Nothobranchius furzeri: one gene and its partner. The protein of the gene in region 1 purifies or fractionates together with the protein of each later gene. This does not show direct contact. Links are inferred from orthologs where the notes say so. Each region holds a gene or a part of one and is shown on either strand. Other genes may lie near its edges.

Evidence for each region.
Region 2: the proteins of nelfa (region 1) and supt5h purify together in Homo sapiens (affinity purification with mass spectrometry; 3 studies listed by BioGRID and IntAct, with this or other methods). This does not show direct contact. The link is inferred for Nothobranchius furzeri from reciprocal best matches to the Homo sapiens genes NELFA and SUPT5H.

Annotation. Positions count from the first base shown.
Region 1 is NC_091742.1:60,248,136-60,252,534, forward strand, and holds the start of nelfa (negative elongation factor A), read right to left. Parts: upstream 2,903-4,399; 5' UTR 2,835-2,902; coding exon 2,625-2,834; intron 1,503-2,624; coding exon 1,331-1,502; intron 1,109-1,330; coding exon 947-1,108; intron 862-946; coding exon 772-861; intron 691-771; coding exon 563-690; intron 487-562; coding exon 417-486; intron 338-416; coding exon 249-337; intron 173-248; coding exon 64-172; intron 1-63. UniProt on the Homo sapiens protein: Essential component of the NELF complex, a complex that negatively regulates the elongation of transcription by RNA polymerase II.
Region 2 is NC_091753.1:56,972,049-56,976,513, reverse strand, and holds the start of supt5h (transcription elongation factor SPT5), read right to left. Parts: upstream 3,035-4,465; 5' UTR 2,039-3,034; intron 1,839-2,038; 5' UTR 1,829-1,838; coding exon 1,742-1,828; intron 1,378-1,741; coding exon 1,218-1,377; intron 1,124-1,217; coding exon 1,058-1,123; intron 1-1,057. Other genes in the region: triap1 (TP53-regulated inhibitor of apoptosis 1), read left to right, coding at 3,941-4,165. UniProt on the Homo sapiens protein: Component of the DRB sensitivity-inducing factor complex (DSIF complex), which regulates mRNA processing and transcription elongation by RNA polymerase II.

The DNA of each region.
Region 1 (4,399 bases):
TAACATTTATCTTTAAGAACCACAAGGTTTTGTAACCTGGGTTCCTTTTAACACCCCACTAACCTGGCTGTGCCTCGGAGCTGGGAATGTAAGACGAGGAGGGAACCATGCTGGGTGTGGCTGGAAGGTAGCTGGTCGAAGGCAGAGGATTCTCGTTCAGAGCTCCCAGTTTCTGAAGCACAAAACCGAAAAGAAAAGGTCATTTTTAAGGCAATAAGAAAATCTAACAGGGTGCAGGTGTAGGGTACCTGTGCAGAGACGAGGCCTGCGGCGTAGTCTGGTGTGGTGTTCTCCACCACCGCCTCTTCCTTGGCTGCTTTCTCCACAGCTTCTGTTTCTACACCCATGAGGTGAAATGTAAGATTGTTTCTATCGTGCTCAACACGTAAAAAATAGAGATTTGTAACTAGATTTACCCAAAGTCTTTCTTCTCCTTTTGGCTTCCCTTCCAGCTCCGACCATGTCCAACTCTGAAATATCTAAAAGCTAAAAAAAAAAAAAAAAGCTTGAATAAAAACCTGCTCAAATTAATTACACAGGCAGAATATTACAGGAAACAAACCTTGACTCCTCTCTCCTTCCGTAGAGGGGTTCGCGGGGGAGCGATGGGTGTGCGGTTACTGGGAGGGCTGAACATACTGGGTGCTGTGGGGCTGCGGAACGGGGCCTTGGGAATCCCTTTGAGAGGAGCTGGGATGCAGATGGAGACGCACAAATGAACAACATCACGACTTTAGGAAAACCACGGAGCTAAATCCTGCTGTAACTCACTTGTCGTGTCGATCTTTTTCACCAGTCCCCTCCCTTTGGCGTGAAAAGGCACCCCGGCTGTCTTTTTGAGTTGCTGGGCCGTCTCCGTCGCTGCGGAGGACGCGACATCAGACCACTCGTTTGATGAATATAATTTCCGTTTTAATTATATCAGCAGAATTTCAAAATCACTCACATTTCTGGAGCAGTTCCGCTCTCAGCGTCGCACTCTTGGGCTTCCTCTTGAGCTGGAAATGCTTGACAGGGGGTGTGAGGGGTCCCACTAGAGTGGTGAGGGCACTCTTGTTCAGGTACTGACACTCCAGAGGAAGCATGGCCGATGCCTCGCACTCACTCACTGAGGAGAAGAGGTCAAAAACAGGACCGTAATTCACTAAAGTCAATTCATTTTAATAACATTTTAATAACTAGAGAACAAATGCCCGGGACATTTAGAGACCCAAATCACACAAAACTCATTTTATTTCTAGATTTTAAATCCACCATTATATAGTTGTATCATATGGGGTTGCTATTCACACTTTTCAAAGAGAGGGTCAACATAAAAAAACAGTCCGACCTTTCTCCCGGAGTTCTCCGAGAATATCCTGCACGTTTGGATTCTGCTCCTCCAAGTCCAGGTTAAGAGAGCCAGTCTCTGGGAAGGACTTGAGGATGTCTGCAACCATCAGCACCCAGGGCTCTGAATCCACCGTAGCCAGCTGGATGATCTCTGACAGGGCCTCCTTCATCTGGGAAAAGACAACATTTGCAGCATTCCAATTAATTTACAACTGGCAGGATTTTATTTAGGAGAGTCCCATTATGCATTTATTGAATTTTCTCTTGGACAACACTGACATTGCAGCAGACTTGATGCATTCATATCTTAAAATGGAAAAACTAATTTTCACAACTTGACCGGAGGGGTGTTTTTTGACTAATAGAAGGGGGAAGCAAGGCCATGGCAAAATTAGGAGGGGGAAAGTGGGGTCCGAGGTTGCGGTCAGGATGGCATTGGCTCACACTGGACCCCTTGTAGAACCACCCCTGCTGCACACCAACACATGGGCAGTTTGTTGATGAATCATGCGAGATGTTCTAATTTCAGACCTTACCACTAGATGCCAGCAACAGGTCCAAAATACCCAAATAAAGTTGTAATTTCCTTGAGTCTAAGCAAATGTAGACATATTGAAATTAAATTAGCATTGATTTGCATACAAGTGCTATAAACAAAATACAGTGAAATAAATACTCAAATATAAAAATATATATGTTTACTACTGTGTTATGTACCGTGCAGTTGTTGGAAACTAAATAAAACATGAGGGCAGAACATTTAATAGTTCAAACTGGGGGATAATAGCTTTCAGTTAAGACACTATTGAGTTTATTACATTTTGCAGTAAGATCATGAGGCGCGCTGTAGTTTGGCAGCTGATATGTCGGATTGAGAATGTTGGCACCGCCCTCCAGCCCTGCTAACTGCTGCGTCCTTTCCCTCATCGACCACAATGTCCGTGAGGAAGCCGTCAGGCTAACGTTACTCGCGCTAGCTGGTTAACCTCTGGTGGAAAATGGACTAACAAGTTAGCCATAAATCGGTTCTTTGTTTATGTGAATTCCCCACAGAATCCAGGCTGAGGTACAAACTTGGGAGAAAATACTGCAGAAAGTATATCAGGTTAGCTCGAGGTGTTAGCCGTCGTCGGTCACAGTTTCACACAGGACTTTTACTGTTGGACGCTCCAAGTGCTTTAATGCAGCGCAACTTAAACTATGGGGTATGTGCATTTCTTTGTCGCGAAGGAAATTTGCGAGCGCCTCTAACCTGTCGGTGTACAGAAAAAAAATAGGTATAACGAACCCACCTCGTCCACCGTCCGCCTGGGAAGATGCAGCATCCCGAGCAGCAGTTTCAGCTTCACCGGCGGCGACAAGCTGGAAAAACACAACCGTATGTTGTCGATTACCGACACGGTGAGGAGAGAGGCTATGCTCGGAGGCGTCCACAGCTCGTCCGTGGATCCCAGTTTGTTGTGAAGCCACAGGCCGGTGTCGCTGTCCTTCATCGACGCCATCTTGGAAAAAGAAGTGTTTTGAGTTCGGGCATTTTAACAGGCTACCTAAGAAAACATCAGTTAGGACCCCGCCCACACGGGGGGGGGGGGGGGGGGGGAGCGTAGCTATAAACCAAACACAAGATTAACGTAAGACACGTTTAAACTGTTTGTACAAAAATAAGCAATTTTAACACCGCATCTATTTATAACACTGCAGAAGTAATAGCTTTTTTTTTTTTGCTGCGGTCTGGTTTCAAAATACTTTTGATCTTAAATTGTTTATTATAAGTTATCAGAAAGTCCAACGTTTTTTTTAAGTTTATTTTCATTTATTCACAAATAAAAACAAAACACAAAACAGGTTTGCAAAAATGAAAAAGGAACAGAAAGAAGCAAAACTTATGTTATCTGTTCCTTTAACCAAAATAAATGCAAATGACAACAAAGTTATTATAGCTAAAAAAAAATGTCTGGACATGTTACTGTTTTAACTTTGGCAAAAAATGGAGCGGAAACAAATACACACACACAAAAAATGTCTTAATGAAAGGAGAAAACAATGCAAATCAAAACACACAATAAAATAGCTATAAAAAATACAAAGTAGAACATACAATGTGTGTTTTCCTTTTCATTCTCTCCGCCTCATAAATACGTTTATCTCATAGCATCATATAAGCTAAGCAATTCATTTTTGATGAGTTTATTAAGGGTATATATTGTTTTGGTATTCTTGATTTTGTTACTTTTGAAATTGGTTATATGTAGTTTCCAAGATAAATCCTCATCAGGGATAAATCATGGCCTTAACTTTGGCTGTAGTAAATCTAAAATTGTAACATCTGAGAATAGATGTATTGCCTCTCTAGAAAAAAAATCAATTAAATGCAACATGATTTAACTAATTATGACATAAATGTGAGTAAGCAGTGTGTGGTTGTTTTGCTATATGTGCTCCAAAAAAGGTATCTTGCCTCTGGTGCAATGGGTTAGTGCATTCAACTGTTAACTGAAAGGTAGGTGGTTTGAGCCCACCCAGGGATGTGTCTTTTTCCTCGTGAAGAAGCAATAATCTTATGAATTTTTATACAAACACAACTTAAAGGGGCCATATCAAGGAAAGTCCACATTTTGGAGCTTTTTACCAAGAAATATTGTTATTTCCTCATAAGAAATATACCCAAACCTGTTTTGGGATGCATTCATGCATTTTCCTGTCTCAGCTGCTAATTTAGAGTTTTACTTTGAAAATCTTGAAACGCATCGATTGAAGCTACTTGCATAATCAGGCATTTCTCATCTCCCTGAATCTATTCTGATCTGAAACCTGCCTCCCCCCAAAGGTACCGAAGTCCGTAGGCGAAACCGCAGTACGACCAGACCGGTCTCGAGATGTCTCCAGGTCACCACAGTTGTTTGCGTCTTAGGAATAACTCTTAAGGAGTTGAAGTTGGTTCAGCTTTATTCTGAAGAAACCGTTTATGGTCAGCTGTAGCATGCAACAGTTTTGACAGCTTGCCAAAAGATGCAATGGGAGCAGAGTTTCCCTCCGATGGCCAGTCAGAGTCACTGCACTACTCAGG
Region 2 (4,465 bases), on another chromosome or scaffold:
TTATAGTAAAATCAGAAGTAAGATTTCACATAACTCTAGCAGCACCTTGTGAAACATCATATCTACCACTTTATTAACTCTGAACCGCTTAAATAACCTTAATTCCCTCCAACCTGACACAGCCAAACAAAACAACGGAAGTTTCAATTTCGCCATGGAACAGAACGCGTAGACGGCTTTGCCGCTGCCGCGGGTCTCCTCCCGTGTGTCAGGTAATAAATGCAACGGCGACAAATTTCGCTGATCGCGGTCGTTTGTCGCCTCCCGCGTGTCGAGCCCATAATGAGGGATTGTACTGGTAAGTGCTTTGGAGGACACAACCTAGTCAACTAGTAAAATACTCTGATTTGTGTCAGAATGTTTGCAGGTTGCCACACACACACACACACACACACACACACACACACACACACACACACACACACACACACACACACACACACACACACACACACACACACAGCTGAGCTGAAATGAGGTGAGGTTAGCAGTCTGGGATGGGACCTGCTCTGAATGTGCGTTGATGAGGCTTTAGAATTACCGTTAACTGGAGACCGGGACAGCGGGGAACGCCGTGAGACAGAAAACAAATCAGTCAGAGCACAGAGGCAGCTGAAACTCCACCCCCCACTGATCAAAATGCTTCAGAGGCCCAGGGCAGCAAAACAAACTCCCCTGAACTCAAACCTGCTTCTTGATTTGCTTTTACCTGCAAATGCAGATTCTGCTAACTTCGCTACACCTCAGAAACAGGAAACACTGTCATATAGCTGCTAACAGTTTGTAGCTAACCGAAACTTCATGCATCACCACTTATCGTCAGAACTCACCTGTTTCATAACAAAGGTTTAGAACTTTTGAACGGACCTCTGAAGCAAAAACCCACCAAAACAAAAGCTAAAAGCTTTGCTGCATCATGTCTGCTGAGATCGGACAGACTGGTGGTGTTATAAACAACTATGTTCACCTGGTCTTTTTACCAAGTCACTCTGCTCCACAAGTGAAGTTAACCGGGTTCAGTTTCCAGAAAATTCCACTCCCTCTCATGAAGTCTCACCTTTCTCCAGAATATCCTCTGCTCCCTCCTCCCAATGATCATCATCCTCATCTTCATCATCCACATCTACAAACAAACAAAAAGGAACAGGTGGGCGTTAATGCTCCGCCCATCATCAGGTGCCACAAGGTAAAGCTTAGGGGAAGACGTCTCCTCGCACCGGCTTCATCCAGAATGAACCCTCCATGTCTCGGCTTCTTCCTCGGCCGGTCGTCGTCTTCATCCTCCTCTTCCTCTTCATCATACTCATCCTCATCCTCTAGGTCCTCCCCCTCCTCCTCTGCTACCTTGTCACTGCCCACAGGGCTGGCAGCCTCCTCCTGGTGGAGGGCATCACAAAAAACAACAGTAAACGTTACTTAATCATCTCGTTCAGCATAAAGACGTCACACATCCATGTTTCATCATCTCACTCCTTTTTACGTATTAAAAGAAACGGTAACGTAACAATAACTGAATAAGTTTGTTTCTACAAGTCAGACACGGTACACGTGCCCTAGTCACTCAAATTAAATCACAAAGGATATTCAATTTTCGTTCCTGTAGTCAATTTTTTCTCCCAGTAAAACACTTTAATGTTCTGTCGCCCAGCTTTTGTTTCATATAAATTAGTTTTCAACCAAAATCCTTATGGGGACATAAGAAGTGAGCAAGCCTCAGAGCCCGGATTAAAGGTTAGCATACCTCGTTCTCCTCCACCTCCTCAGCTTCTCCATCGCTGCTGCGCTCACTCTGGTTGTCAGAAAAGTCGCTGTCCTCGCTGTCAGACATTTTGTCGTAACTGTGAAGAAACAAACGTCAGCAGAATGAATCACATCAAACAGCACAAACTAAAACTCAAACCTAGACTGTGAGCTCCGCAGAACAACAACCAAGATGGCCTAACAAAGCTAACCACGTTAGCTTAAATGTAACAGCCTCGGTATCTAGAAAACAACAGCTATCAAATCTTATTAAACGCCATTAAAAGTTGTTTCTTACCTGGTTTTATTTCCCGCTTTGATTTTTATTCCATTAAACAACAAATAAGTGAAAACAATAGTTTATCTCTGTCTGCGACGCCTGAAGCTTTCCGTGAGAGCTACGAGATTTCGGGAAGCAACGTGTTACCTCTCGCGTGTTTTCGCCAGGACGTAGCTCGTGGGGATAAAGAGGTCTCACTCTGACATATTTTCCTTTTCTCCACAAATCATTTAACTGGCATTCAGTTTAGAAATATAGTCCGTCTGTTGCCGAAGCAAACATTATTTTGTTCTGCATTGTTTTATTCACCTATATAGGATGGGTTAAGAAGAAGAAGAAGAAGAAGAAGGTCTTTTATTTAGCGCCTCACTAAATCAAATCCTGAGGCGCTTCACAAGATCAAAAATAAGAAGATTAAAAAATGATTAAAAACATTCATGCAATTTGGAAATTTAAAAAATATACTGTAATTAACAATATAGTTTATAGTAAAGTTTTTAAATTACATTTAGATTTTTATTCAATTTTATGCTGTTATCTTTTTATTTCTATTTATCTATTTTGTTTCATTGATCTGTTGTTTTATATATATTTTATCTGGACCTAAGAGTCTGTCATTAAAGATTATCTATCTATCTATCTATCTATCTATCTATCTATCTATCTATCTATCTATCTATCTATCTATCTATCTATCTATCTATCTATCTATCTATCTATCTATCTATCTATCTATCTATCTATCTATCTATCTAGCTATCTATCTAATATGAGGAAAGGGAAACAAAAATGAATAATGAAGAGAAAGATCCTGGGATCCCGGGAAAGGTAAAATTTGTAGAGAGTTGAATGAGGAGAAGCTAGAGATGAAGAATCAACAGGATGTCATGCCAAGCCAGTCCAAACAGGTGAGTTTTCAGCTTCCTTTTAAAGAAGACCACTGAGTCCACTGAGCTCAGACTCAGGATGAGAGAGTTCTTTAGTCTTGGGGATCTCAGCAGCAAATGATCTGTCACCTGACTTTCTATGCATCTTAAACACTGCCCGTCGGCTTGGGGATTTCCGCATTCCTTCGCAGCTACATGTGAACACTACACTGCCCATACGAGATCGAACTGACGCCATCTTCCCCTGACTGTACTGACCCTAAGGTGTATGCAAATCTTTAGCTCGGTGCGCTGCACAAGTAGGTTTAGATCACTGGACCGCAGGGGTCTGCTGGGGGTGGAGAGACTGGGAAGATCACCAATGTATGATGGTTCTAGTCCAAGTAAGGCCCTAATGACCAGGACCAGGATCTTGAAAGTTGACTGGCAGCCAGTGAAGCTGGAGGAGAAGCGGGGTGATGTGGGTGTGCTTTGACAGTTTGGTCAGAAGCTGAGCACAGGCATTCTGAACCTCCTGTAAACGGGTCACCTGTAAACAGTTCCACTATAGAAGAACTATAAGGTGAAAATGCATAACTAAATGTGAGCTAAATAGAAAACGTTCATTATTTTTACAATTTGCTAAAACAATATCAGCAGATTGGCCACATCCATTCATGGAAATGTATAAAAAATATCTGTCATAAATACGACAGGTGACTAAAATTCAGACATTTTTCTGTCGTTTTCAACTAATTGACATTCTAAACAGGCTTAAATTTTAATTTAGGAGACGTACAAAGTAAATATAGTTAACGATGTGATGATAAAAATAAAAATAGGATTAGTTGTGACAGAGTGAGCTCTCTTACTACATATCTTTGGCAAGTAAAACGTCATTACGCTATGCTGCGTCCCTCTTCATTCAGCCAATCACGTTAATCGAGGGCTACGCAGTGCGCATGCTGATCCGGTCGACGCTTGGACAGCAGTCAGACAGACTTCCTGTCCTGTTTCTTGACCCGTAGAGGTGTTTTTACTCGTTTTCTTGGAGATGAACAGCGTTGGGGAGGCCTGCACCGATCTTAAGCGGGATTATGACCAGTGCTTCAATCGCTGGTTCGCGGAGAAGTTCCTGAAAGGAGACCGCAGCGGAGACCCGTGCACGGAGACCTTCCGGAAGTACCAGCTGTGTGTGCAGAAGGCCATCAAAGAGAAGGACATCCCCGTCGACGGAGTGGAGTTCATGGGTCCCAACAAAGACAAACCTGAGAGCTGATGGAGCCGCAGACGGGTTCGGATCAGACCTGACCGGGGTCCATGAGGCCCGTTGAGCATGCGTACAGGCGCCAAGCCGGGCGAACTGGGTCACCTCCCGGTCCGAAGGCCGGGAATCTTTTTCAAACGTCACTTTTGGAGGACTCGGTCCAGCTGTTGGTCACCTCGTGAGCCGGACGTCATCATTTTGCCAACTCAAACAACCAATCACAGAGCTGCTGTCACCTGTTTTTTTTTTTTGGCTGAAATTAATTTTTTGTTCTTTTAAGATTTCCCGGTCAGACTTTTCCTCTGTGAATAA